Arabidopsis thaliana: one gene and its partners. The protein of the gene in region 3 interacts with the protein of the main gene of each other region in a pairwise test. Each region holds a gene or a part of one and is shown on either strand. Other genes may lie near its edges. The genes, in order: RPH1, AT1G64150, AT3G18250 and AT5G19130.

The links.
Region 1: the proteins of AT3G18250 (region 3) and RPH1 interact in a protein complementation assay, tested with the Arabidopsis thaliana proteins (one large-scale study listed by BioGRID).
Region 2: the proteins of AT3G18250 (region 3) and AT1G64150 interact in a protein complementation assay, tested with the Arabidopsis thaliana proteins (one large-scale study listed by BioGRID).
Region 4: the proteins of AT3G18250 (region 3) and AT5G19130 interact in a protein complementation assay, tested with the Arabidopsis thaliana proteins (one large-scale study listed by BioGRID).

Annotation. Positions count from the first base shown.
Region 1 is NC_003071.7:19,659,926-19,666,513, forward strand, and holds RPH1 (resistance to phytophthora 1), read left to right. Parts: upstream 1-2,891; 5' UTR 2,892-2,937; coding exon 2,938-3,123; intron 3,124-3,269; coding exon 3,270-3,480; intron 3,481-3,562; coding exon 3,563-3,744; intron 3,745-3,821; coding exon 3,822-3,848; 3' UTR 3,849-3,977; downstream 3,978-6,588. Other genes in the region: AT2G48060 (piezo-type mechanosensitive ion channel component), read right to left, coding at 1-17, 420-535, 807-993, 1,078-1,234, 1,349-1,506, 1,592-1,751, 2,010-2,090, 2,413-2,461; AT2G48075 (uncharacterized protein), read right to left, coding at 4,218-4,697; AT2G48080 (oxidoreductase, 2OG-Fe(II) oxygenase family protein), read right to left, coding at 5,267-5,615, 5,686-5,840, 5,925-6,034, 6,121-6,222, 6,310-6,427. UniProt on the Arabidopsis thaliana protein: Plays a positive role in the immune response to the oomycetes P.brassicae, including induced oxidative burst (e.g. H(2)O(2)) and enhanced expression of defense-related genes.
Region 2 is NC_003070.9:23,806,782-23,816,163, forward strand, and holds AT1G64150 (Uncharacterized protein family (UPF0016)), read right to left. Parts: upstream 5,945-9,382; 5' UTR 5,799-5,944; coding exon 5,629-5,798; intron 5,532-5,628; coding exon 5,447-5,531; intron 5,211-5,446; coding exon 4,983-5,210; intron 4,886-4,982; coding exon 4,832-4,885; intron 4,739-4,831; coding exon 4,677-4,738; intron 4,565-4,676; coding exon 4,496-4,564; intron 4,418-4,495; coding exon 4,366-4,417; intron 3,983-4,365; coding exon 3,911-3,982; intron 3,824-3,910; coding exon 3,694-3,823; intron 3,605-3,693; coding exon 3,534-3,604; intron 3,345-3,533; coding exon 3,297-3,344; intron 2,338-3,296; coding exon 2,266-2,337; 3' UTR 2,054-2,265; downstream 1-2,053. Other genes in the region: DIR5 (Disease resistance-responsive (dirigent-like protein) family protein), read left to right, coding at 7,282-7,830; CHX16 (cation/H+ exchanger 16), read right to left, coding at 8,458-9,382. UniProt on the Arabidopsis thaliana protein: Mn(2+)/H(+) exchanger, which transport Mn(2+)from the chloroplast stroma into the acidic thylakoid lumen. Might be a chloroplast-localized Ca(2+)/H(+) antiporter. Regulates Ca(2+), Mn(2+) and pH homeostasis. Required for chloroplast development.
Region 3 is NC_003074.8:6,255,831-6,261,504, forward strand, and holds AT3G18250 (Putative membrane lipoprotein), read right to left. Parts: upstream 2,597-5,674; 5' UTR 2,578-2,596; coding exon 2,347-2,577; 3' UTR 2,230-2,346; downstream 1-2,229. Other genes in the region: AT3G18240 (Ribosomal protein S24/S35), read left to right, coding at 1-220, 445-846, 1,173-1,587, 1,664-1,865; AT3G18260 (Reticulon family protein), read right to left, coding at 4,498-4,667, 4,760-4,829, 4,931-5,072, 5,194-5,374, 5,560-5,674.
Region 4 is NC_003076.8:6,413,956-6,422,264, forward strand, and holds AT5G19130 (GPI transamidase component family protein / Gaa1-like family protein), read right to left. Parts: upstream 5,158-8,309; 5' UTR 5,039-5,157; coding exon 4,917-5,038; intron 4,821-4,916; coding exon 4,729-4,820; intron 4,533-4,728; coding exon 4,433-4,532; intron 4,297-4,432; coding exon 3,489-4,296; intron 3,352-3,488; coding exon 3,218-3,351; intron 3,017-3,217; coding exon 2,173-3,016; 3' UTR 1,965-2,172; downstream 1-1,964. Other genes in the region: AT5G19120 (Eukaryotic aspartyl protease family protein), read left to right, coding at 630-1,790.

The DNA of each region.
Region 1 (6,588 bases), on a different chromosome or scaffold from region 3:
TGTGCCTGACACCGGCCCTGAAAATTTGGAAAAAATTAACACATTAAGTTGAGTGTAACTATTATCCATCTACAATGCTAATCTTGTACAGCCCAGCCAAGAGAACATCCATTAGAATGTGTGAACTAGTTGTACTCTGTAAGGGAGTACTAATCTTTACCCAACCCCATAGTTTCTATTAGCAGAGAAACCAATCACAACTTTGTGTTCATAAAACTGTCCAGTGTTTAGGCTTCCACGTTTGGTAGTGCCGACCCTTGAACACAATTCTTTGAGCATATTCAACCATAAATTAATTAACATAAGTAAGAAAAAATTAAACAGAAAAACTAAAATTTCCCTTGAAAAACTGATATACTATGTTAAAACCACAACAGCTCCCAGTAGGAAGAAACTAAACAAAAATCTATATAGAATACCTTGATTCTCGAATAAAAAATGAATATTTTGGAGGAAGAAGCCGCTCTGCCAAGTTATTTTCACTCGTGGACATGATAAAGTCCATATCCTCGAGGTCTGACCTTACATAGGATAGCTGCAATAGCAGAACGACAGGCATGTCAAGACTGTTACAGGTATAACATAGTGGTAGCTCGTTAACAGATTAAGGCGGGTAAGTCAGTTCACTTGAAGGAAAAACTACACTGGCTGTTGGTGTTCATAACCAACTCCCCAAACACGGTCACCACATATTGACAGTTGTTTTGAGAAACAGTTCATCAATTATATGGTTCAGTAATATAGTTTATCATTTTACACTTGAGTGAGACCAAGTAATACTAATCCTCGAAAAACAAAAGACATACCATGATGTAGAACAACACAAGGAAAAGACCAGAACAAATATCAGGGCCTTCAGTTTCCAGGGAGATTCTGAATAGACCTATAAAGCTTGCTATCCAACGAATCATATCGGAAAAGTTTATTGGTAGTTGATAGAGGTAAAGCAGGACAATGTTGAATCCTGCGTAGATATAAAGAACTCTCCACCACCTTAACCAGACAAAAAACGACTAGATTTCAGAGAAGCAGGGTTTGGAAGTGCTAACTTTGCGTAATAATCAATAATCTATCCACCTGAAAAGTCCTGAAACATTGCTTGTCAAGGACCAGTCCACAAGACCGGCACAGCTTCCAATAAAAAATGGCAAAGAAACCCATGATGGATTGCAGATTCCCACTGCCAATTGAACTGCTGGTAACAACAAGCAGGAGGCAACCCTAAGATGACTTCCTGAGTAATAAAGGAGGAGATAACGTCAAACCAAGACCAGATGAACACATGATGAGAAAACGTTACAGTAAGTATTTGGACAAGCCGTATGGGCCTAGTACATTAATTACAAACCTAGGTGTTCGAAAATTCCTGAGAAGTGAGACCACCATGTGTCCCGCCATCTAGCGAAGCCGAATCTACTACTGTATATGTCAGCTAAAGCAACCAATGATGTTAGTAGTTGTAAAGCCAGGAAATACATAACGGTGGGGTTTCTCCAAGACTTTAATCTGCAGAAGCAAAGACGAGAGTATCAACTAACAAGTAAATATTTGTAAGGCAGGAAGATGAATGAAATGATGAGAGTACTCTTACATCATAAAGCCAATAACTCTCATCCAGCCAGTATCTGGTGTATCCCAGTCTTGACCTAGAGCAGCCCAAATGACAAGGTAGACCACTTGAGCAAGAAATACTGCAAAGGAAAAGATGAAAATGGGCCATAATAGCCAATGCCTCCTCTGAAAACGGTATCCTGGCAAAATAAAGCAAGAACCAAAGTAAGTTTGAGAAAGTAAACATCAGCTAATCAACCGTAACTGAAAAAAGCGACGAAAACTGAGAATAATAGACTCTCTTTTTTTTTTTTCTGTTTCTCCAGGCTAATGTAGATGTTGGGCATAAACTAGATGAATCCTTTCACACCTAAACCCCAAATCAAAGATTCCAAGAAACATGTACTACAGCAGAAACATTGGGGTATTTCTTTTGATTAGAGGGAAAACAGGCTTACCAATTTCAGGTGCAATATAGTGAACGAGGAGGAAAGCTATCAAATCAAGAAAGGATATGACACTCCAGTTAATAAGTGCAGCTGTGAGAGAAGAGAAAAATATATTAGGAAAATAGAAGCTCAAGCGAAAAAAGTACAAGCTACGGTGTGGTAGAGAATGGAGATAGCAATAACAAGAGATATGATACCAATGTTTTGACATAAAAACACCAGGGTCGTTTAAACTAGTAAAACTTAATAAAGGAACCTTAATAGAGTAGGTACAATGTTAAGGAGTAAATGAGTGAAGCTCAAGATATCCCATGAGACAAAGAGGAGGACTCTGTTGATTGAAGAGGACTAGCAAAGTAAGGATTTTTTTATTATTATTATTGCAAGCAAGAAGATAGAGAAAGAAACCAACCTGCCAGAAGAAGCGAAGGCAACAAGAAGCCCACCAAAAAACTCGCCATTGGAAACTTTTGTCTTAACGATCACCATATCCCAATTCTCATCGAATTCAATAGATCCCCTCTCTAGCTCCGACCTCAATTTCTTCCAAAAGGCCAACGAAATCAGCCCGCCGGAGACTAAAACGGAGGATAAAAATTTCCAATTCTCACGAATTCTAGCAAGTTCCCGAAAAGGTAGCTGTTGAAGATGTGTGTGAATTTGAAGGTGGATTGCAAATTTGAGAGAATTGGAAACTGGAAATCCAAATCCACAAGCAAAAATCAAAGAAAGATCTTTTCTTCTCGCAATAATCATCATTTTAATAAATTATATTTAGCGCCGAGAAATGGCTAAACCAATCAAACCGTCGTGGGCTCGAGATTCAATTATTGATTGCTGGCTTTTAATTTGGAATACCGGAGTTCGGTTGAGAATTGGACCGGTTCAATAAAGCCAACAAGTTTCTTCTTCCTTATCGCGATTATTGGAGGAGAGAATGAGTTGGTCTCTCTGCAGCACCCATGGGGTCTCCTCTTCCATAGCTCTCACTTATGGCTTTCGCCATAGAAGAAGATCCACCTTCCGTATTTTCGCCACCTCTGACGGATTAGAACCCAAGGACGACCCGCCGGAATCTCCTCTCCCTTCCTCATCCTCTGCTCTCGGTAAAGACTTGAAAAAGGTCCGCCTTTTTTCTATATCATTTACGATTTTTCTGTTGAAACCATAGGAAGACATGAAAATGAAAATGCACCATGTTAGATTGGTCTCTAGTGCTTGAACCTGTTGAAAGAGTTGCTCAAGCTTATGACTTTTCAATTCAAGCAGGTTGTTAACAAGACTGCTGCAACCTTTGCCCCTAGAGCTTCCACCGCCAGTAAAAACCCTGCTCTCCCTGGAACTACTCTTTACAAAGTTTTTGAGGTTCAAGGCTATGCATCGATGTTCCTCGGAGGTGTCCTTTCTTTCAACCTCCTCTTTCCCTCCAGCGAACCTGATTTATGGAGGTTGATGGGCATGTGGTCCATTTGGATGTTCAGTATGTCTCCTTCTCTACTTTCTTCTAACTTTATTTATTCCAAGGCTGCATTTTTGCCCCTAATCCTTTACTTTCTTTCCAGCTATTCCTTCTCTTCGGGCACGAGACTGTCCAAGTAAAGAGAAAGAGGCTCTTAACTACCTCTTTCTCATCGTCCCCTTGCTCAATGTTGCTATTCCCTTCTTTTGGAAATCATTTGCTCTTGTCTGGTCTGCTGACACGGTTGCCTTCTTTGCTATGTATGCCTGGAAGGTATGTCGAATGGTAATTATTGAGGGGCGCTTATATAGTTATATGTGCTTGCTCAGATTATTTTTTTCACTTTTTGCCTCTTACTTCAGCTTGGATGGCTGGAAAGAACAGAGTAGGGACTACTCGTGAATCATGATGGGATTAGAGCATGAAGATTCTTTGTCTTTTCTTCCTTAGAATGGTACTTCATTCAGCTTATCGTGTTAGGTACGTGGGTTTAAGGCAAATGAATGTGAACATTGCTCTAGAATGATATATGAACTAGCCCCTTAAGGAATATTTCTTGTAAATCTTAAAGTTCTGAGATGAATTATTGTTCAAAATACAAGTGGGAGTACATATACGTTTTGTTATCAAGAATGCAGCTGGTAAATTTAAACAAAGTAAAAGAATTGAGTATATAGATAATTCTTGCATCCCAGTGTCTGTTGGTTCTTCTATTCGACAGAGAAAGCGAGAGAAGAAGGAGGCTCATGTGTTTAGTTCTAGGCTAAGCCTTTCCTCATCTTCTCGAGTGTACTTTCGATAAAAGCATCTGATTTCTTATTTATATCATTTAGTAGGGGCCCCAGGCGTCTATGAGGCTGTGGTGGTTTCCCTGCTTCAGGCTGAGTGATTTGTTGCTTAGGGCTGGGCTCACCCAGCATGCTCTTTTCCCCGTTCTCCTGTAACCTCTTCTTTGGGCCGTTACTACCATTAACTAGTGTAATCATTGTCTCTCTCTCTGATTCTGGACTTGACGAGGCAGGGGAATTGTTATCCTCCGAGTCTTCTAATTGCTTGAAATGAATAGTGATGTCAGACATTGATCCCTTCTTGATCAGTTTGTTCCTCTCAGGCTTATCTTCATTCATCTCTTTGTCTCCTAATATCCATAGTTTAGCCACCACAAATCGAAACAGCCGACGGCAAATGCCCCGAGGCCGCAGAGAGCTGATGCTGTCATCATCCTCTCTTATGTGCATTCTCTGTCAAAAAGAAGACTGCAGAAACAGAAAGGTATTTTTCTTTTCTCTCCAGGATTATTGTGCTTGAGGAGTGGTTTTGGTGTATATGAAGAAATGAGTAGTGGTATATCGGGTTTGCTTTGATTCTACGCTTTTGTTAGATGGGGAAATTGAGCCAGTGGAAGCTATGTGTCGTTTTATCCAATAAAAGAAGAAGAAAACCAGAATCTCTCTGCTTCCTTCTTCATCCTCTTTTACTTTAACTGAGAAGCAGTTTCAGGAATATTTGTATCAATCAAGTTTCCTCTTTTCTTGATTGAAGCTGAAGATATTTGAAATTAATGGCAAGTGGTGGGGCATATCCTAAAGATTTTTAATACAAATAGTGAATCATGTAACAACAGTAGATGATGTAGCATAATACCCTAATCTTCGTTCTATAAAATTGACCAAATAAAAGGAAAGCAAAATGTTAGGAAGAAACAAGAAAAACCCACTAAACTCTCAAGTGTACAACCAAAAGACTCTGCTTTAAAAAAAAAAAGTAAAGGAAAAAGAAAGAGCTTCCGTGTGTGACACTTTCCAACTCAACTCACTCCTATCTCTGGCGACGATGACTCACTATCTGCCACTGACTTTGATGATGACAAGAGACGCAGCCTCTGGACACGCGGCGGGAGATGCTTGGCTGGTTTTCTTGACACTGGCGGTGTCCACGGCAAGAAAACTCCAGTGCCAGCGTCTAGCCTCTTGGGCGCCGGAGCTAGCATCACCAGAGGAGAAGGGGTGCCTGGTCTCCATAGGGTGGGCGGCGGCTGGACCTTACCGGAGTCCGGTTTGAGTTTGAAGAAGGTGATTGCGACTCTTTTGTTGGGCGAGGGACACATTACATGCCTAGCCATATCTGCACTGTTACCCCTCATCACCAGCAACGACCTGCGAGATTCATTTTCTGATTAGAAAGAAAACTCGGATACAATCAACATCGGGGGAGTGTTTCCATTACCCTTCCTTAAGTGGGAGAGTGAGTGAGCCTCTGAAGTTGCCATCGTTATCGACCCCGAGTCTGTGCCCAAACACCATGGTTGATTCAGACAAGACAAGAGTGGATATGGGTTGATCCACGTGAGGAGGTTTCTGAAATGGTTGAGAGTGTTCGTCCTGAAAACAATCCCAAACCTTAGCTGGAAGGAAGGATCGAGAGATGGTGATCTGGATTCTGGAAATGGAAGTGTAAGTAAGTACCTCATCGAAGAAGTTGATCACACAGCCATTTGGTCGTTTGTATTCAGGAATCAGACGCCATTGAAGAAGATGGTCGATAACACTTTGGACAAGGGTTGGGATAGGTTCCACTGCAAGGACGGGTTATAAATTAGGAGATGGTATGTATATGTCTAGAAATAGCGGAAGCACCAAGTCCCTGCCTTGTTGTCATTACCAGAGTGTTCATCCGTGGTGTTGCCGAAAATAGGAACTCCAAGCTGAAGAAGCTCTCTTTTGGTTCCCTTGGTGTTCTTGTTGAACAGAACGAAGGTCTCCCCTGCATTTGAGATGAGAGAAACTTACTCTCGTGTGTAAGGTTTATGAAAGAAAAAAAGACGGAATTAAATTCAAAGGATAAAATCACCTGAAAGTTGGTGATTCCGACCAGCCTCTCGGAGCTGATTAATAGAATCCAGAAGCTTGGAGAGTTGAGGTCGAGTGAAGACATCTTGGTAGAGTTTAAGGCCTTTGACAACATTGGCCTGCGAGATAGAGGAGCAACCACGCAGTCTTCTTAGTCATGGAAACAATTAATGAAGCAAATTCAATATCCATCGGGACGACGAGATTACACACTAAGGAATGAGTAATGATGATTGATAGGATCTAATAAGCCTTTAAATATATATATATATATATATAT
Region 2 (9,382 bases), on a different chromosome or scaffold from region 3:
TTATTCAATTTCCCAGACATCGATCTCAGAGACATATTTTTTTTGTCTCGAATTAAAAAGAAGTCAAATTTCTCTGAATTTCTCATCAAAAACAAACATGCAAATTCAACTGAAGAAAAACAAAAACGAAGAATGAATTTACCTCAATTTTGAATCTGATTACGAGATTTTCACGGCATCGATTGATAAAATCAAATCGCGATTCTCAATCTCTCTCTCTCTCTATCAATAAGCGAAATTGAGTACTTGGGGCTCTACAAATGTTTTGGGTGTGATTGAAAAACCTAGGGATTTGCAGCGCCGGCGAGAGAGATCGAGAGAGGTATAAATAGGAGAGGAGAGAGAGAGGCTTTTTTTTTTGAAGGGAGTGGAAATGATATCGAATCTGAAAGGAGAGGTGAGGAGGATAAAAAAACCAAGGGTAAGACGACTGGTTTGCCACACGTGCCATCAGAATCTTTTGCACGTGCCACTTATACCCTTTTAATATTTTTTTTATGTTTTTGTATTGACTGACTATTGATCATAAGTATAAGCTACAAACACATTAATCAATTCATTAAACAGAGAACACATAAATTCATTTTTACGCACCAGCTAAATTTAATCAAAAATAAAATGAAGTATTTGACTGCCAAACATGATATGTCCTCCACTTCCTGATAATCAAATTTATCCTACCATAAATTTATATTAAGTTTGATTAATGGTATTTTTTTATCAATAACATTGTACTCTGTTATGCAGATTTGAGTACAGATAATGATATTAATATTAAGAGTTTAATTAGGATACGTATGGTTTAAACGAAGCCAAGATTGTTTGTGGCGGTTGGAAGCATCAGCAGCAAAGAAAAAACGAAGGGGTAATTTGGTGCGTGGCGGCTGAAGCAGCAGCGGCTCGTCACCGTTCAATTTGGTTTTGTGATTATGACTGTGGTCCCCACATGCGTCTTTTATGGGTCCCGCACGATTCCCCTCGGGAAGGTCTTCTACAAATCTACGACAGCGTAATTTTTTGCGATTTTTGTTTTTAATTTTTCAAAAATATATAAACCGACGTCGTTTCTTGGTTTTTTTTTGGCTATCGCTGTCCTTAGTAGGAAACCTAAAAAGGGTCCACGTACGATAAAAGAGTGGTTCACGTTTGCAAATGCAGCAATTTCGTTAGATTTTGTTTTTACTTTTTCTAGGTCAATTGTATTATTTAGATTCTCTAATTCCTTTTTTAGATTTCTATTTACTTCAAAACTACTAGTAGTATTCAATTTCGTAAAAGTACGTTAAATACCATTTATATGTCAGGTAAATAATCGCTTTGCGTAATTCAACATGCAGGTGAAATTTCCCCCAACTTTAAAATCAAATCACTAAATATTGAGTTAAAGGTGTATATTGTAGAACAAATTAATATTTTTGAAGATAACTGCTGAAGTTTATGTCACTGTGATATACTATTATTTATCAAGAACAAAAAAATGCTCCAATATTATATAGGTGTAGTCATTGTGTAGAAAAGGTATTATTAAGCAAGATATTTCGGTCAATTAATTTTAAAAAATTTGTGTCTTCAGAAACTTTGAAATATGCCTTTTCAAAACCAATGATTTTTAAAGTTATTTTTACAATATATCCAAACTACTATTTATGTAGGTGCATCAGTGCATGCTTATTTTGCACAATATATAGCTTTACTTCTGTAATCCTTTTTAAAAAAGAAAAATCACCTTGGCCCTTGCTTAATATTGAAACTAAAACCATTTAAAAAAAAAATACCAAAACAATTTACACCTTACTATAAAAGAAAGGAGATGGTATTATCTTCCTATTTCTCATGTCGGTGTAACAACTCCTTTGGCCTTTGTGAGTGGAACTCATAAATTTATAACTTTTTCATATAATTTTAATTCACATGCACGATTATAGTATTTAAATACACATTTGTACATGAAGAATATAGAAAAGAATATGCTCTACCATGTTCAACCTCTTTTTAGTCTTTATATTCTTTCCAGTCCCGAACACGTGTTATGTTTGGACGCATCTTTCAAAACATAACATATTACCTATCTTGACATCTAAGTAAATTCTAACCACTAAAAACCAAATGTGGTAGTAAACGTTAACGTATGAGAACTGTAAAATCCACATTATAATTTGCAGAAAAACAGTTGAAAATAAACAATATACTAATATTTTACAAAAATAAAATTAAACTTGAATATGTTTGTACAAGAAGGTATAGAAAAAATATATTTTTCGGTACTTACGTAACGATCTCAGCCACCGTCACAGCAGCAAACACGAGAAACAGAACTCCTCCGACATAAGCAATTGCCTGTTTCGAACCAAACGACATGTAAACATTTCCGTCTTTAGAACACACTCTCTCTCCCAAAATTGTTTTTTAAATAGTCTAAACTTTAGATCAAAACAATAAAAAAAATGGTCTTAAATCTTTATAAATTAAATTGTAAGCCTACTATCAAGTCATAAAAGCTAAAATCTAAGCCTTAAACCATAAAACATAAATCATGAACCTTAAAACCTAAAGAAAATTATAGTATATACTTGTGATTTAATTTTTATTTCCGCGGCTAGTTTCATTAGTTTGGGAATAATAACGCGTTGTTGACAGATTGGATCGGACATAGGAAAGAATAAAAACAATAAAAGATGTTATTTTGACTCTTTTTTGGGGAGGAATAGATACCAAGTGATGTGGAAGACTTGAGATCAATGAACATAGAAGCTTGTTTTTGCCACTTGCCCAAAGAATAAAAACCTTAATCTCTCACTTTTCTTTCTATCATGTTAAATCTCAGAACACAATACGAGATTAAAAATTATATCCTTTGACTAACTAAAACAAAACTCAAAAAGGTGGTTTGGAACTTTTAAAACCATGATTAAAGCTAGTAATTTGCCATTAGTATCTCGTTTTTGTGTAATAAAAGCTGAATATATCCTAGGATATGCTGGCATTTAGTATATTCACCCTAAATTTTCATGATAATCTAAGGACATGGATTTGTTTCATATTTCATTAATTGTTTTCTACTTTTTTAATGCAACCATTAAAGTTTTATTCTTCTTAACCTTTTACTTGGTCAGGATGCAGGTTAAGACATGTAACAAAAATCTAAACCTGACACTATAAATGAAAAAGGAGTATTCTTCAAGTGCTTTTGTGAAATAATGATTTTCTAAAATTGATTTGATCTATATAAAGTATAAACATGTATATACTGTCTATGTGTATGTATATAGAGATAGATAAAGAACGGAATTAGTTACCTTCTCTGATAAGAAATTTCCTAGCAAAGAACCGCCCAATACTGCAAGCTGCGATTAACAAACCAAGCTGCAAGTTAGAGTTCTTGTGTCTTCCAAGTTTCAGGAGAATTGAAAAAATCTTTTCTTTGATGGGGTTTTAAGTCTTAATAGTACTTAAAGATACTTTTGACTAGCCCAAATAGCTAGGATCTTTAAAGTGTTCACATAGAAGTTTCAATCAAAAGATAAAGAACTCACAAGAGTCGCAGCACCGTGACCCGCCAACGCTCCAGCGATGACACCCAATGGTGATGATGCAGCCGCAAGAGCTTCAAAGAATTAGAAGATTATATACACTTTTGGAGTTTTGGACCTGAGGTTTTGATTTATCATGAAATTTGAACTTTTTGAGTCTCACCAATTGTTGAGAAGAAGGATTTGTCACCCCATTCCGCAACAAAAACCAATGCGAAAGTGCTGATGATGGTGTTCGCGGCTGCTACTATCCCGGCTCCATTACCTGAAAGCTCTGAAACCGCTAGTTCTGCCTGTAGATAATAAGTAAATAAATATTGACTTCTTGAAGGTTGCATGGAAATATACAAAGAGTGAACGAAAGGCTAAAGAGGTTTTACTTCTTTCTGTTCTTCGTCAGCTTTACCCTCGTCTGAAACAGCATCTAATAACGTTGAAACACCGAAGTACACCTAAATGTAACAAAAGTGGTTAATACTGTTTCATGGTTAAGACTATGCTCTGTACAATATGATCCAACCCAAAATGAACCATAAACCAGGCTTGAAAACCAATCAACATCTTCATTGTTAGACCAGTAACTTTTTCTACATAAAAATCCAAACCCAATAGAGCCTGAAACTTATAAACTTCATGACAATTTTAAGACCCTTCGAATCGAAAACTGAACCAAAACCAAAACAAAACTCATAACAAAAGGGTTACAGCTACATTTGGTTTCACTTGGTAGACATCATATACTTAGGAAGATATACTTGCTAGACATAAGAAAGGTCCAAACCAAGCACCCGTGGTTAGTACGACTCTGCTAAGAAAGGTGAATAAAGAGATTTACCAGAAGACAAACTGCTGCAATATCATCTATAGGCAAATCGGTTCCACCAAACCTGTGTTCTCAAGCATTGACGTTCAGCATCATCATGGAACTTAAACCTGCTTAATAATTTTTGCCAGAATACTCAAACCTGAATGGAAGAACTTCATCGACATAGTGGAAAGTGCGTCCAAGCACTACAGATATTATCGTCATTATCCTGCAAAATTACCAAGTTTTATAACGTTGCTCTACAGATTTCAAAGTAACATTTGGTTTCAGACAAGATTCACGGACCATAATAACGCCTCTGTTTGAGAAAGAAAGCATACCCTAGAGCGCCAAAAGTCCCCACGAATACGGTAGCAGCAGAGTTCCTTGCTGCTAAAAGGGCCTAACCAACAAACATGAAAACTTATCACAATCAACAGAATCATTGATGACAAAGAGAGTTTCTAAAGCGTAGATTAACATCTCAAGATCATACCGCAATGAAGAAAGTCTTGTCTCCAAGTTCAGAGAAAAAGATAAGCAAGAAAGCCTACACAGACATAGACAGAGCAAAAAATAAAATTTAAGAGTACTGGAATTGAAGAAGAGATAGTTCCCGGTTCTGTGCAAAAGGAAGATTCTCTAACCGAAGCAAAACCTGAGCTAATATCTCCAAGGTCTCCAAAAGAAGTGACAAGTGACTGTGTCACATTGGGAATTGACGAAGCTGCAAAAGCTGGATCAGTGCCTAGTAATGCAACCGAACCTGATACCGCCAAGAACATAAGAACTCTCTGAATCTCTCTTCTTGAGTGAGCTATCGATGACTCAACCAGAACATCAAGATTTCTATCATGCTCTTCAGACTCAGCTTTCTGAACAAAGCAAACACAACAACTTATTCAGCTTATGCATTTAAACACATTCTCTCCACTATTGTTCAACCTTAAAATCAATCATCATTATAATAAACCTACATTACCATTTTAGGTAAATCCACACAGAACAAGCAATTCAGAAATCTCCTCTAGGCCTTAACAGAATCTCATCTAAAAAAATTCAAAAATCTACCAAAAGAAGATTGGTGGAAGGTAACAAAAATCAGAATCACCTCGAGGTAACAAGCCGCATCGTTTCGTTGGAAGCATCGAAAACCTAGCTGCTGAGATTCATTTCGACGCAATTGAGTCAAACATCTGCACAGAATTGTGAAAAGACGTAAACTCCTACATGGCTACATTCCATTCGCATAGCAAATTCAAAAGCCGATGAACAATCAATTATCAAATTTACCTAGAAAAGTATTGATTACGAACCGAAAACCCGATCGGAATTGGATAAGCGGAGACGCATCTCCTCGACGATGAGGAAGGAGAAGAAGAAGTAGAAGAAAAATCGGATTTGGGAGGCCTAGGGTTCTGGAATGGAATGCGAAGCGACTCCGAGAGATTCAAACTTAGCATTTCTTTCCTGAGGATTTTGTATTTCGCTTCTTCTTCTTCTTCACAGTGTGATTCTTCTTTACTGCGAGCAAAAAACCTTTGGCTCTGTGTTGTTCTGAGAAGATAGTGAAAAAAATCCACAAAACTAGAGTTATTCGCGCGCGTCCACGTAGTAACAGCGCACGTGTGGGAAAAACTCAAGCAACTGTTGAATACACGTGACGAGTTTCGAGCCTATATATCATATTGGGCCAACAATAGGCCCGTTTTCGTTAAAATGCCTTCGCAGATAAGGCTTTTTAGGACAAACTATTTTAGTATTTTTCTTTTCCTTCGTTTGTTATCATCTTCACAGTTTGTCAACATTCAACAATTTGTCTTTTTGTTTACTATTGTTCTGCTTTTCTTTTGTTTCACGATATTATTTTTTAAAATGTGAATAGTTATGTCACATTTGAAATTCTGCAACTTGATTTGCTTTATTGGCTGCCGAATGCCAATGTTCTATTAAGTCGGCGAAAGCTTAGCTTAATTAAAAAAAAATTGATGATAAAACGGTTACTTTTACAAATGGACTAGATTATCATTAAGAAAAAAACATGTTTGGTATGCAAATTATATTAGCCATAGGGTACTTAACAAACTAAAATTAAAATTTTCAACGTGACTTTTACCAATAAAATAGATGACTCTACTTTTAGTTATAGAAAAAAATGATATGATTTATATATAATAAAATAAAATAAAATCTATAACGATACTTTTTAGCATCATGCTAATGGTCAGTGGCAGTTTGACATAAATTCATGTAAAATTATAAGTTATTGGAAAAACTCCTCATGCTCTTTAGTTTTTATTATTAGTGCTCCACCAACCCATCATTAAAAGGCCAAATTACATATATTAGTAGTTCTGAAAGACTATACATATATATATTATTAATGTCCTAAATTTAGACGAACAAGTAGATTATTCATTGATTCAATATATATGATTTAAAGCCATGAATTGCATATTTAACCGATTTAATATCTCTTCTGCTTTTGAATTTGTGCTGTTTTAGATATTATTGATGAATTCGTGCAACTCCAGCTTAAGGTATGTACAAGCTTTAAGCTTATGTAGTCTTAAATCAAATATGTATTATATATACTAATTTGTTTTAGTACTTCATTCGTGTTATTTTTAACGATTTCTCCACTACTATAACATTTTGTGGAAAGTTTTGAAAGGTGATTGAGCCGCCTACATGGAAAACTTTCAGATATTCATGGTAAATGATCTCACTTTATACACATCAACAAAACTTATCACCAACCTAATATAAATAAATATATAAACAAGAAACAAGAGAGAAGAAGTGAGCTAGTCCACTTTGTTTATACTTAATATTAACACGGACTAGTAACCCAAGTTGTATATAAACCCATCACTCCTTCTTTGTCAATCTCACTCTCTCATTATCCACTCTCACATTTTCATTTAAAACACACATATTTTCAATATGGTAGGCCAAATGAAATCGTTTCTCTTCTTATTCGTTTTCCTTGTTCTAACAAAAACCGTCATATCAGCTAGAAAACCATCCAAATCGCAACCAAAACCGTGCAAAAACTTTGTCCTCTACTACCACGACATAATGTTCGGTGTCGACGACGTGCAAAACGCGACTTCTGCAGCAGTTACCAACCCACCGGGCCTCGGGAATTTCAAATTCGGGAAACTCGTTATCTTCGACGATCCTATGACCATAGACAAAAACTTTCAGTCCGAACCTGTGGCAAGAGCTCAAGGGTTCTATTTCTACGACATGAAGAATGACTACAATGCATGGTTCGCGTACACACTTGTGTTCAACTCGACTCAACACAAAGGGACGTTGAACATAATGGGAGCAGATCTCATGATGGTGCAGAGTAGAGATTTGTCTGTTGTCGGAGGGACAGGTGATTTTTTCATGTCTCGAGGGATTGTTACGTTTGAGACCGATACCTTTGAAGGTGCTAAGTATTTTAGGGTCAAGATGGATATCAAACTCTATGAATGTTACTAAAAGAGACCATTAAATGGTTCCAGAGACAGAGAGAAAGAGAAAGAGGCTGAGTCCTTTGAAACTTTTTGATAATTTAATAAGTTTAAAAGGTGTGTAACAATCTTATATTGGAATTTTATGTTTTCTGTTCGATATGTGGTTTGATAATTATGTAGTATATGATTTGTTATGTCATGTGTTGTTTGACAAACCAAACACAGTGTTATACAATATCAGATTTTGATTACTACTGAAATTTCAATCTAGCTTTATAATGGACACATGCATGGGATGATAGTAAATTGAGTAGGAAAAAATATTTCTACAACACCACTAGTCAATATAATTGTAGTATCTAAAATTACTATATGAAGTATTCCTTTGAAAAAAGGATCGACTTACCAAAATATAAATATCTTTGGTCAAAATTTTGAACTCTTAACAACTTGAATAATCTATCCATCAAATCATATGTTTTAAGGATATGATATAATCAGTGACTCAAATTCATAAATATGTTTTATCTTACAAATTCATAAAAAGGGGAGTCGTTTGATTCATGCATGTTGATACATAAGAGTGTTTCGTGTTATCCATCATGGTTTGTGCTTCAAGGTAAAGAAAACACAATCCTCTGTTTCCAGATTTTCATGGCGTCTCCACCACCGGGACAGAGACGGAACCCACCACAGAAGGACCTTTCCCGGTGTATTGTTGAACCACCAAAACAGACACTGAAGTAGAAATCTCATTTGACACGATCAAGTTTCCGACCGGTCCCAGTTCTGGACACTCTATCTTCATAACCGGTAATCTTGAAACCATAGGTCCTTTGGAAGATTTTCCCACCAATAAAATATCGCACTCGTAAAATTGGCGGATAATCTCAACCACTTCCTCCGTTGAATTCACCGTCCTCTCTTCAAATCTAGCTGCATTGGCCCTTTTCTTGATTGCTGCAAGGAATTGCTCGTCTAAGGAACATAGTGATGTTTCTTGCGCTTCAAGCCTATCAAACCTTGCGCTCTCCGGACCAGAGATAACCACAACGGTCAAGTTAACGCCCGGATGTTCAGCCATTCGTAACCCGTAAACCAAAGCTTCACGATCATCGCAACCGCCAAAGAACAGAACATTGACGGAAAGTGAAAAGTTGCTCGAAGCTACCGGAGAATTGTTGTCGCCGAGACCACGATCAACCAAAATTCCAACAGAACACGGTGAATTCTCAAGAACTCTTTTGTTAATCCCCTGATACTCCGATCTCACCGTTTCAAATTCTTTCTCCAGAGATCTCCATTGCTTATGGAACGGCAAAATCACAAACGCTGTGCATTTACTATCAGCAGAGCTACATATATCCTCATGAATTGTTGACAACGGTGAAATCGCGGTCACAGAACGCACCGAAACGCTACTTAGCTTACTAGACGCCTCGAACGCGACCGTAACGGCACTAGAATTCTCTCTTTTCTTGTTCCAAAAGGGCAAACCGTTGCTTCTCACCTTTTGAACCATTCGAATAGAAGAAGGTCTCTCGGAGAGTTGAGTTAAATGCATAACGTAAACGCAA
Region 3 (5,674 bases):
AATGCATCTCTCTGCGCTCGCAGAATCATTCTTTCTCCTCGTATAACCCATCAGATCTCCCCCAATGTTCCCTTTCTCGCTCCAATCGCCGCTCCTGCTGCTCCCAAGTTCAGATTTTTCTCCTCCGAATCCGGTGAGAACTCGACTACGGCCCCTGAGTCTTCGCCGACTGATTCACCCGAGAAGAAAGATCTCGTTGTAGAAGATGTAAGCAACAAAGGTAAAACACACTCTATCCTCTTGTTTGGTTACCTCACACTTGAAATGGCCTTTGTATTAGTTGAAATGTGTGAGTTTAATTCTCATCTCACCATTTCTCAATACCTCATAGTTTTCAATTGATCCTTCGATACAAGATTCGTAGCTTCTTATCTCATGAACTAGTAGAATAGCTGTAGGTAATCGTTTGAAATTGACTTCATTTATTGGATTTTGTGGTCTCAGAGCTTAAAAGCCGTATAGAGAAGTATTTCAATGAGGGTAATGAAGATGCTTTACCCGGAGTTATTGAAGCACTTCTACAGAGAAGACTTGTAGACAAACACGCAGAGACTGATGATGAATTGTTGGAAAAAATCGAGTCTCTACCTTTCAAAGATGATGTCAAGGATGAAGATTTTGAATCCGATTTCGAGGAAGCACATTCTACTGACGAAGAACTTGAGGATTTGTACAATTCTCCCGAGTATGTAGCTGAAAAGATGAGGAAGAATGAGTTTTTCAACATGGATGATAAGAAGTGGGATCACATGATTAGAGAAGGTATCCAACATGGGTGTCTTACTGATACTAAAGAATGCGAGGAGATTCTTGAGGATATGCTCAAATGGGACCAGCTTCTTCCTGGTAATGGCTCGTTTATTTTCAATCTTCCCGTTCATCGACTCACATCCTTAGACATAGATTAGGTTGATTAATAGACTAATGTGCGTCGTTATAGCTAAACACAATCTCTTCGTGGAACTTAGCTTTTGTAGTTAACCTTTCTATTTGGATTTTTCTGAATCATGGTATGAGAAGTTGAGAACCATTCGTTTTTTTAACTCGTAGAAGGTAATGTACTATGCCAGATATGTTACTTCTCGGATCAGTAGGGCCGTTTAGAGAATATATTGGTTTGTTCCTGTGATGCGTACATATGAACATTTCTCTAACTGTGTATGTTCATTCAGATGACTTGAAGAAAAAGGTTGAAGCAAAGTTTAATGAGCTTGGAGATATGTGTGAAAGAGGTGAAATTGAGGCTGAAGCAGCTTATGAGCTTTTTAAGGAATTTGAAGATGAGATGGTAATTCAGTATGGGGATCAGATGGAAGCTGAGGGTCCTCCCCAATTTGGTGAAACAGATGCTTCCGATAGGAATACTGACTTGGATGATCCCCCTGGTAAAGGCCCAATCCTCAGGTGGCAATCAAGGATAGTTTTTGCTCCTGGAGGTGATGCGTGGCATCCAAAGAACAGGAAAGTTAAAATGTCTGTTACAGTGAAAGAGCTTGGGCTCTCAAAGCATCAGGCTAAAAGGCTAAGGGAACTTGTAGGGAAAAGATACCATTCGGGGAAAGACGAGCTTACAATCACCAGCGAGAGGTATATATAACTATAAATCTTAAGCTTTTCGTGAGACAAGAATGTTGAATCATGAAATGTTTTTGTCCTGTCACAGGTTTGAACACCGAGAGGAAAACAGGAAAGACTGCTTAAGAACTCTTTACGGGTTGATAGAAGAAGCTGGGAAAGCCAACAAGATCGCTGAAGACATAAGAACTTCATATGTAAAACAAAGACTCCGTGCCAATCCAGCTTTTATGCAGAAACTACAAGCCAAGATCATAAGGTCTAAAGAATCAGATGCCATCAACGCTTGAACAAAACTTTTCCCGGTTAGCGCCTTTCTTGTCTCACCAAATAATCTGTAGGATCGTCTTCTTTTGGCAATCATTTGATCCGTTATGGCTTTTCAGATCCATGAAGAATCTTTGATGGTAACTCCTATCTTAGTTTGGTTTGCTTGTTGTATCTCATGAAGACATGAACCTTGGCTGTGCTGTTGGTGTCTATTAGAGACTAGTTAACGTTTTCTCAGAATTATGAATCTCTCCTAAAGTTAAGGTTTCAGATATGTTTACGGGTTCAGAATGAAAGTAACCAAAGGAAAGAATTGGTACAATTTTTGTTTGGGTTTTGTATCAGATGTCTTTCTAATTTTTAAAGAAATTCAATCAGTAAGATAAGAAATGGAAACTAAATAAATTATTGCTTCAATATACGATAGCTATACATCTATAAACGAAAGTAAAATGGTCGGACTGTTCTGTTTATATTTTCCTGACGAAGAAAAATGAAATCTCAACCTCCACAACCACCACCGCAACCGGCACCGCCACAACCTCCGCCACCGGTAGAGGTGCCTGAAGTGGCTCTGTTGTCGGAGACTCCGTCGGCACAAGAGAATAACAGAGCGGAGAGGATACAACAACCGATCACAGCCAGGAACACAACATGAAACAGGTAACTAGCATCGAAATGTGTTGTTGTGGTGGCCATGCTCATTACATCTTCTAATAAGTGTCTCGCCATCTCTCTTTCTCTAGTTAATGTGGATGAGATTAAGTTGTTTAACGTGAAAAGCTTTCCTACTTATAGCCGATAAATTCGTACGTAAGGCCACTGACTTTTGATAAATTATTCGTTCAGTAGTAAGATTTCTTTGTAATTAAATTTTTCTTTTTAAGAAAAGAAGACTTATTTGTTAAAATATAGAAAAGACTGCAATACAAGACTTACCAGAAAGTCATCCATTTTAGTCTACTATTCTCCTCCTCTCAACTAAACACATTTGACTGCGGAATTTTGATGGAATCACGTATATTAGATGAAGATAGGACCCGGTTTATAATAATTTCTAGTTGAAGATTATGTTTCTTTAAAAATATAAAACTTGTAATTCGAAAGGCTAGGCTAATTTTATAGGTCAAGATTATATTATGCTTTTAAAGAAATTTAAAGTTCAATATTTGATAAATTACATACATAGTTCTAGTTAAGGTTTTGTCGAGGAAGTTTAGTTGAAGATAAGGATTTTTGACCATTTACATTAGCGTGAGAAAAGTCAAATGCCATAATATAATTATCATTAATCATAATGTATAAATCAGCTTGAATTGCCTCGTCTTTTTAAAAAAATTATAAATATTGAAGTGATTGTTCATGGCCTTTGTTAAATCCAATAAAAATACAGAGATTTTGTACTGTTTAGTTATTTATCATTGGTTATCATTGATTGTTCATAACTTTATGCATGAGAAGCTATTAAGTCTCTCTCTTCTATTTCACGTGGACTCCATTTTTGTTGTTGGTCCAAATTTGACTATGCAAAATCAAATTCTTATCAAAGGACTTTCGACGTAACCCAATGTTCTTCCCTTTTTTCTTTTGGCGTCTTATTCTTCTACCACTAACCAAATTTAATTCATCATGGATTATGTAATTTCGTAATCTAAAAGCTTCCGAAACATTTGACCAAACAAGAATATATAACTCCGTAATATATATTTTTATTTATGTATACAACTGCCAAAAAATACCAAACTTCCATTTTTTACCAAAAAAATATCAATTTTTTTATTTTATAAGTATCTAACTTTCTAACAAAACTTATAAAATACTTTACGTCCATACCACATATTTTGACGTACGCAGTTTGAACTAGCTAGGTGTGAGCATCGATTTTTGGGTATAGTATGTTTCAGATTTTTGGAAAAATTAAAGTTCCTTAATAAAAAGGAAGATTGAAAAATGTGTTAGAATAGTCGATGTTAAGCGAGAGAGAAATTGTAGGTTAAAACAAAAGTGAAAAGTCTAACTCCACTTATTATTAACATTGTCATTTTCAAAATAACAAAATATCTCTTTGACAATTTTGTAGAACAATTGGTATCTATTTTAGACAAAGTTTGGTTTGGACAAAAAACGAAAATTTGGTATTTTGTTTTGTATTTTTTCCCATACATGTAAACAAACGTACGTATCTTGATATTTATCCGACCACTTTCGCTTTCGATTTAGTGTTTATTTATTTTATTTTTATAGAAGAAAATTATTATTGAAAAAAAAATAGCTCGGTTTTGGCAAATCTTAACGTTATAACAGGTTTTAGGAATGTGATGGTGATATAATGTGCAACAGATTTGCAGCGATGTGCTGATGATACCCGCTTTTCAAGTGATTTGGTCGATTTATAGTTTATTATTATACTCATCAAGGTTAAAACTAGACCAATATCATTAATTGGAGAAAGTTACCATAAACAAGTTCTTGTTAATTATTTCCCTAGAGGCTTGATTTTCACAATTTCACATCATTATTCCATTTGATGATGATTATCAGATCTTAACTTCTTCTTCTTCTTTTAACAGATATGTATATTAATTTGGGTTGATGAGGTCGCATAAATACAGTAGCAAACACATTATCTCTATAAGTAAAGAATGATCAGAATTAAGTAAATTTCTTGTTTTTGACAGTTCCTCTTGGGATTTTACTAAGAACATTCGTATCGACTTTCTTGTACAGCTTCTTCATCTTCCTCATCAACTTACCCGCCGCTGTATCCACGTCGTCCTCGTACATCTCATACATAACCGGTAAGGTTTGCATGCTTACAAACCCTGAACGACACGACGTCCATTAATTCCGTTAATTAATAAAAGGGAATTAAATCTACATATATAGTTGAGTATCATGACTTAATTCTTCTTACCTATGAAGAGAAGATTCACAAAGTTGAAATATGTCCCGATGATGGATACGATATAAAGCGAGATCGTTGTCTGGAAATATAGTAACCAATTTAAGCAAAATAATAATGAATCCAAAGTTATATATATATATATATATAAGTGGAAAATTATTATTCTATATAATATCTTACGAGAAAAAAGAGAGGAGGATCTCTTCCACAAGCAACGTCAAGAAGCTTTGTGAGGATTTGGTTGAATCTAACATGGAAGCTTCTTGCTAATTGTTTGAAAGAAGATTCGTCTAGTACAACTTCTGGTATTAGTGGTCTTTCCCTGCAATTTTGTTTATTTAATTGTCGTTTTATTGGTAAGGAAATCTTGTAATTTGTATATTTTTAACCAATTGATCATGAGAAATTGAAAAAAGATTAATCAAGTAAAGATATAAACATACCAATTGAGAAAATCAGAAGCAGTAGACCAAATGAAGAAAAAAAGCATGGAGGTCATGGAAGCATGACAAATTAGGGTTATGAAATTGTATTCCACTACTTCCATTAAGAACCATAAGATGCTCACTCCTATCACCAATGTTGCTGCTATTTTCGGCTCTCTCCATAACAGAATATCCGCAACTGTTAATCACGAATGCAAGTTGTTAAAATTTAGTGTTTGTCTACATTATAATTTTGGTGATAATTTTGGATAATAGCAAAATAAAATGTGATATTTGAAGAGAATTGATGGATATAAACATGTACTTTCACACACGCATACCGATTGAACCGATATAAAGTTTGAAAGAGAGTGAGACAAATACCTTTACCACCTCCAAATATAGAGTGAATAGATCGTTGACGAGTGAAGAGCTTAGTTGTTTTATGGATCGTTCTTTCGTCTTCAGAATCGGAGGACGATCCCGTAAATATTGGCAT
Region 4 (8,309 bases), on a different chromosome or scaffold from region 3:
TGTATGCAAAATGAGTGTTGAATTCTTTTATACCTGATCATAAAAAGTCTTGCAGGATCGTAAAGTTCATATGCTGTATGAAGAAAAATGATTTTTCATTCAAATAAACCATTAACGGCTCTCGTTATTTCGTTATTAAAGACCGTTGATTTGTTTTATATATAACGCCATGCAAACCATTGGGCCATATAAGTTTCTGAAGACGCCCATATATAAACGAGCCCAATCTTAATTTCATAATACATGTTAACATCACAAAATTTACAAGTACCAAGCCAACTACTCCAACTGGCATAGGGTATAAACTTTATGGATATTCCTATAAAACATCCTTTCACACGTGCCAAAAATCATCAAATCGTCTCCTTTTTCTTTTGAGCTTTTAATAAAATGGATAAACATTGACCAAAACAAAATAAAAAGAAAAGAAAAAGTCCCCACCAAAGAGCGAAACGACACAACAAGTCTACTCAGCACTTACCTTAAAATGAACCAATCCTTATCGTTTCAGTTTTTTCACATTCACAATAAACCAGCGTCGGCCCACCGCATCCCAAACCATAACGCTTAATCCTTAAAAACCGTCCAGATCCATTTCCTTCCTCTAAAACTCATCACACACACTTCTAATGGCTTCTTCTTCTTGTTTGAATCTCTTCTTCTTCTCTTTTCTCTCCGCTCTAATCATTTCTAAATCTCAGATCTCTGATTCCGTTAACGGGGTCGTTTTCCCTGTTGTTAAAGACCTTCCAACCGGTCAATACCTCGCACAGATTCGACTCGGTGACTCACCGGATCCAGTCAAGCTCGTAGTCGATCTGGCCGGCTCAATTCTCTGGTTTGATTGTTCCTCAAGACATGTTTCCTCGTCAAGGAACCTAATATCCGGTAGCTCTAGCGGCTGCTTAAAGGCAAAAGTTGGAAATGAACGAGTATCATCATCATCATCATCGCGTAAAGACCAAAACGCCGATTGCGAATTACTTGTTAAAAACGACGCCTTTGGGATTACGGCGAGAGGAGAGCTTTTCAGTGACGTCATGTCGGTTGGCTCTGTTACTTCTCCGGGAACCGTTGATCTACTTTTCGCTTGTACTCCACCGTGGCTGTTACGTGGGCTCGCTAGTGGAGCCCAAGGAGTAATGGGCTTAGGAAGGGCCCAAATCTCACTCCCTTCACAACTCGCCGCGGAAACTAACGAACGTCGTCGGTTAACTGTTTACCTGTCGCCGTTGAACGGTGTCGTATCAACGAGTTCGGTGGAGGAGGTTTTTGGAGTGGCTGCGTCTAGATCGCTGGTTTACACGCCTTTGTTAACCGGTTCGAGTGGCAACTACGTAATTAACGTGAAATCGATTAGAGTCAACGGGGAAAAGCTCTCCGTGGAAGGTCCGTTGGCGGTGGAGCTGAGCACGGTGGTTCCTTACACGATTTTAGAGAGCTCGATCTACAAGGTGTTCGCGGAAGCTTACGCCAAAGCTGCGGGTGAAGCTACATCGGTGCCTCCTGTCGCACCGTTTGGGCTCTGCTTCACTAGTGACGTAGATTTTCCGGCGGTAGATCTAGCGTTGCAGAGTGAGATGGTGCGGTGGAGGATTCATGGGAAGAATCTGATGGTGGATGTTGGTGGTGGAGTCCGATGCTCGGGGATTGTTGACGGCGGGTCAAGTCGAGTCAACCCGATTGTAATGGGTGGGCTACAATTAGAAGGCTTTATATTGGACTTTGATTTGGGTAACTCAATGATGGGCTTTGGACAAAGAACACGCTCTGATTCAACTTCGTTGTAATACAGAAACCTTTGTAATTGTAACCTTCTAATTATCTGGTAGATATCCTCAATTTTGATCTCTTTTGAGTGTACTCTTTTCTTACAATACCTGCTACAAGCAATCATGCATTTGTACAACTAATAGATCTAATTTAAGAAACAGCTATTACTTAAATGAAGTAAAAATACAGTGCTTAAAACTAAAAATCAATACAAAAAACAGAAACTTCACTCATTCATCGCATTTTTAGTTTTCTAACGATACATCAGACCTCTAACTGCTAATTACCATGCGACAACTAGAACATATGACAAATTCCAACAAGTGTGGACAACTGTCACCGAAGTAAAGGAAATAACTGTGACCTTCCTTGTATGGAGATTGGGACGTAAAATAAGAATTAAGAAGGATGAAACAAGATGCAGAGGCAAAGGAGCCAGCAAGGAAGATGAACCATACCTATGTATAGATATGTTGCACTCTTCCACGCCCAAAGCGACTCTAACCATGTCCAAAACTCTCCTCCAAGACTCAACCCTACGAGGCCTTCTCCAAGCAACCCTTTAGAGATTGCAAAAAACATGACCGGGAACCCGATTGTCAGCAATACAATACTGCAAAACGCACCCAACAGGCTCTTAAGGCGTCTGGATCTCAAAGCGGGTTTTATAGGCTGAGCCATAAGACACGTTGGCACTAGTAGCAACGCTCCAATCTCTGCGGTGGCAAAATTGATTATGGACATGAGGCATAGGCCGATGAAGGCAGCTGAGATGGTCACTGATTTCAAGATGGCCCAGTTGGTTCCATGGAGTCGAGAGGAGAACGGAGAGCAACCAGGCATTGTGACAAAGGTTATAAGGAGAAGCGACGAAGAGGTAGTGCCCCACATGATGGAGCGGTTTGTTGGAGAATGTTGGCCCGGTACTTGACAGATGAAATAAGGTAGCAGCGTGACAATGAAACCCAACAAGTGCAAAGTAAAGACCTGTTTCGCTGCATCTAGCCATTTCCAAGACTTGAAGTTTTCGGTTGGGTTATGAGTGGAATTGGTAAGAGATTTACAGCCATCGATGTATAAAGAGGCTGCGACCATTGGAAGAGGGGCAACAAGAAGAGCAAAGGCAATCATGTAGACTCCTACAGAGATAAATTTGCTTGGCGAAGTTAACATGTAAAGGAAAAACGATTGATGGAACTTCTCAAGGAGGTTGTTCACTGATCTTATAGTTCCTTCCAGTAACCTGCGTTTAAAGAGAAAGCACAGAGTTATCATCGAACACTCATACAGAGTCAATGAGTAGAAAACATTAAAACTCTTAAATTCCACTGTAGCATAAATGATATATTGTAGTACTTTAGCATTACAAAATGCACATACACTAGCAGAGGTAGGTAAACGGTATAAAATGGGAACGAATGAAAATATAAAAACAAAAACTCACCGGGCACCTCGTAGAAAGAAATCGTGTTGTCTTGTCTTACTGTCAGGAGGAAATCTAGGTGAAACTTTCAAAGTTATAGCATCAACTTGATAATCGCGGAAAGCTCCATGGGGACCAGTTGGGATACCAAGGGCCTGATGAGAATGAATAACAAAAGAAAGAAACATTTTCTGTCAGCTTTCAAGGTCTTTCCTAGTTAAAATGTATCAGTGTGACTGCAACCACAAGATGCCAAGAACTTAATTAAGGACAGATCAGTTGTACATTTTACCTGGGAGTACAGTGAACTTGCAAGGGTAGCACTGCCTTCAAGATAGTCTGCAGCTGGGATACCAAAATTCCAGTCCGGATTTAACATATGCGCCAATTTCCCAACAGCTTCAAATATTTCCCCAAAAATCTTTAGCCAACTAGAGGAAAGTAAAGATACAACCTTCTCAACCTTGACATAAAACCCCTGCCTGTGCACCGCTAAGTAATTTACAACATTGATGAGGTCGAGATTTGGCATCTGCCCATTAGATGCCTCTGCATAGATACTTAGTGTGTCCTCAAACTTTTCACTTCTACCATCAACCTTCAAAACCAAAGCAGCAGCCATTGTTCCAGCTCGTCTGAAGTTATCAGCTGTATTTTGCTCGTCACACTTCAGAAGATCCGAGACCTTAAATGAAGGTGAGTGGTATTCAGTTAACCACGCAGCAACAGGCCTATAGTCTCCATAACGAGAATCAGCGACAAGCCATATTATGTCTTTGGAAAGCCAGGTAACTCTAGAGAGCAAGGAAAAAAGAGAACTGACAATTCCTAAAGACAAATCCTCATAGTCTCCACCATTTATAAAATCATAGGGAGTAACCAGCACAATAGACTCTTTTCCATCACCACGAGGGGCTCTTATAATCCCCGCAACATTGACCCCATAAGAAGCACAACTGACATTCTCCAGCAATGTATATGAATCTGGACCGGAGAAAAAGTGCAGGGGGTGAAATTGATTCCCTTCAGGATGGAACTTTTGATAAGAAACTTCTGCACCCATATCTGACATGTATTTTCCAATGAGCTTTTGGACTTCACTAGAAAGAAAAATCACACAAATGGAGAAACATTAAGTTACTTGGGCTAGGACCAAAACAGAAGGACAAGTAAAATTCTTCATAACGTAGGAGAAAGCTCTATTTCATGCGAAAACTGAGGGAAGAAAAGACATACACACCCTGGCCTTCATGATTCAACCTAAAGTTCTTTATGTCCTTCACCAGTTTGCTTCCATCAGAAACATCTCGATTAGAGAGCATAGACCGTGCAGAGCCTGAGGATTAGAGTCAAAATAGAAAGTGTAAAACACCAAACAACAACGCATTCAAAGTTGGCAAGCCATAAACTCACATGACTCAACAGTTTTAAACCCTTCTACAGATTCCAATCGTATAGAACACTAATTCCAGGTTAACATGTACAGTATCCAAATGTGGACTTTAATTGAATTCTAAGGTATGTAACAAAACCTGGCATTAGAGCATTCTCGGAGATGTAAGTGTTCTTTGCCAGTAGAGGCAAAAGCAGCAGCGCCAAAACCCCAGCAGCAGAGAAAACCACACTACAAACACAATCAGATCATCAATGAACCAAAAGAGAAAGAATCAAAACATAGAAACTAGTGGAGTAGAAGAGAAAATTATGGTTGAAGATTTACCTGAAAACAGGACTGTGAGCGATGAGGAAGATTCCGAGCCGAACGATTGGTCTCGGTTTGATTTTAGGAGATCCATCATCGGTCTTCACTTCCTCTTCATTATCCCGGTTCACCGCTGCCATGATTCACAGATCTTCGATCAATTTCGGCAGATTCGAACCTACGACGAACTGTGATCTCCGTGGCTTGGGAATTGTAGACGACGGTCAAGTCGGGTCAGCCCGAATAGGGTGGGTGGGCTTAAATTTAGAAGGCTTTGTAATGGACTTTTATTTGGGTGATGGGCTTAAAGTCAGATTAAGATGGTGCAGAATTTTCTTACATACCAAATATAATTGTTATTTTGATTACAAAAGTATATTTATATTTGTTCTTAATTTTAAAAATAAAATGGATAATATCAGTGTTCTTAATTTGTATCTTATTTTAAAATGAAGAAACACTTTTACAATTATGTTATTATCCATTGACTGTTATAGATTTTTTTAAATATTTATTATTATAAATGACCAGTATATGGTATTTTTGCTATTACATCATAGCAAGATGGGAACATGAAATAGTGGGCTATACAGTGCAGTCCATATTATCGCATCAAAGAAAAGCAAAAAAGAAGAGAAACTGCCAAAAGAAATAATGAAAAGTCATGATATGATCCGAAACCAAAAAAGAATATCAAGAAAAAAGAAAAAAAAAGATATATACAGCTGCATAGGAAGTGTTTGTGGGGATGCATAGAGATTAGAGATGATCGAAGCTTAGGTGATTGAGATGGTCCAATAACAAATTTGTTCATTTGAATGATACTGAAGCCTCTAGATCGACCACATATACATCATATTGCTTTTAAAACGCGAGAATATCATAGTTTTGATATGAAGAAATCATTTTTCAACAAACATTTTCTAGAGGATTCTTTCTTAGAGAAATATATGAAATATAGATATATAACGTAACTAGATTTTTACCCGCGGTATACCGTGAAAACAATTTATTTTTTTAAATTAATATATATATAAAAGTTTGTAAATTGTATCTATTTATAAAATGTTTTTATTGTATAGTTTACAATTTTTATTAAGTAACGTCCTGCCAAACCCGTCTCGCCAACCCGTCCTCTAAAAAAAACTCATTTATTTTATTAATGTTGATCTTATTTATGATATGTTTATGAATTATTGTCTAAATATTTTGTAATTTTATAGTAATTAAATGCTATCAAATATCTATACGGTTTGATGATTATAATCATGGAGAAAAAATATCAAAAATGATAATTTTGTAGTAATTAAATGATATTAAATATTTTAGAAGTTTTATTTTAGTAATTAATCGTGTAGTTAAGGTAGAGAGATTTTGGGAAGATTGTTAAATGTCAAATATTTAATTAGAAGATTTTCTTTCTAATTATCAAAAACAATTATTAAATGCCAGTGACAGCCGCTGTAAATAAATCCCAACTTTAAAATTTATTTCATAAAGTGGCTGCAAAAATGTATATATAAATAGTTAATACCATTCATTATGTTTGGATAATGGTATGTGGCAACAAAAAAATCTTCTATATGTCATGTTCAAATGAGATAATTTTCTTTGAAATAATATTTGTAAAAGATAATAAGCAAAACAATATCAAAGTCGTTTTCAGCTTTTGTAGTTCCCACTCCCAGGCCCATGGTTGGCTTTGCTCGGTCTTTCTTTCTGTTTTCTACGATTGTATTTTGAATAAATAAGTAAATAATACAAACTAGTGGCTGTATTTTATTTTACAATTTAATAAAATGATAATGACGTTTATAATATCAATACAAATATGCCATTCACTGTTTTGCTATTCAATTTACGTTATATTATTGATCAATATTGCGTTTTATTTTTTTGTGTATATGATTTTAATATAGTTTAAATTCTATAGAAAAGTCAAAAACATAATATATACATGATAATCAAAATCTAAAATCATCCATAGACGTGGTTCAATAGCTAAAGCAGTTAAGTTATGGTATTTAATATATGCAGTTTAATCTACAGTAACCGCGAAAAAGGAATTTTTTTTGTTCTGTTTGATTCGACCGATAAAAACGATTTTACATGGGTCGGATAAAACATAAATCAGTTATTTTGTTTAACAAAGTTTTAAAAACAATTTTCTCAAAGTGTGCATGTTAAAATTTACATCTATTATAAAAAAAAACATAAAATCAATTTATTCATTATCAAATTGTTTTGAATAAGAAATCCAATTAACTCAACAACCTCAAACTATACATTTTTAACATTTATGTTGGTCTACCTTGTGGTCTCTGATATTTGGCACGAAATAGTATAGGTCTTTTTTATCTTATACATTTCTAGGTTGTTGTCACCAAACCATTTATGTATTATTTTATGGTTTTCCCTTTTTGTGTGTGTGTGATATTTTTCTTAACAAATGGTCGAAAATCTTCAGCAACTCAACCATCTTTCTGTTCAAATAAAGGCTTACTTTCTTCCTTGGAATTCAATAGTTTATTTAGGTTATGTAATTCGGAACAAACAATATGAACAGTCTAAAGTTGGCTGATATGAAATATGAAGACCGTGGGCCAAACCCCGAAACATAAACAACGGGCGTCGACTGTTCGTCTAGTATTCTTTCTTTACATTTCCAGTTGAAAATATTATTACAAAAACTTCAAATTATTGATTAAATTACGTAGGACATGGTTTTGAATCTCTAGTTTCACAAATGGGCAAACGAAATTGAATAAGTTCTTCTCAAGGACGAAAATTTTGATTTTAAATTTTTTAATTATGATCAGCATGCAGCCAATTATTACATATAGATACCCAAGATGGCAAGATCCAACAATCATCGTACTAATTCGTTTTTAATTATATACTGATATACACAGAAATATTTGGATCACGTTGCTGTTGTATTTTATTTTTCTAAAAGAGGTTTATTGTTTATCTGACAAATCTTATTCTCTGGATGAAGTTAATTTATGTAAGAAAAGAAAGATTCATAAAGTTGATGATACTACAAACCAATCGTTGATGATAAATGTCCATTTAAATTAGGTTCAAGTTGCTTTCAGATCACAATCTCTCCCTCCCTCCTAGTTCATTGGCTCATAAAAAACACATATGATATTTTTTTCAAACTATAATAATACTATTTTAAAGCATGGGATAATAATTATACAAATAGTTAGAGAGTATGCTTTTGTTAGAAAAAACTAGAAAAACAAATATGTATACTGGTTTTGAAACACTCTTAAGATCGATTGTCAAAAAAAAAAAAAAAACACTCTAAGACAAATATAATTTCTCTAGTAATGGTTGGTGATTTAAATGAGAAAATAGAAAGAAAGTGGTGACACATCCGCTTGATTTAATTGACAGATTTGT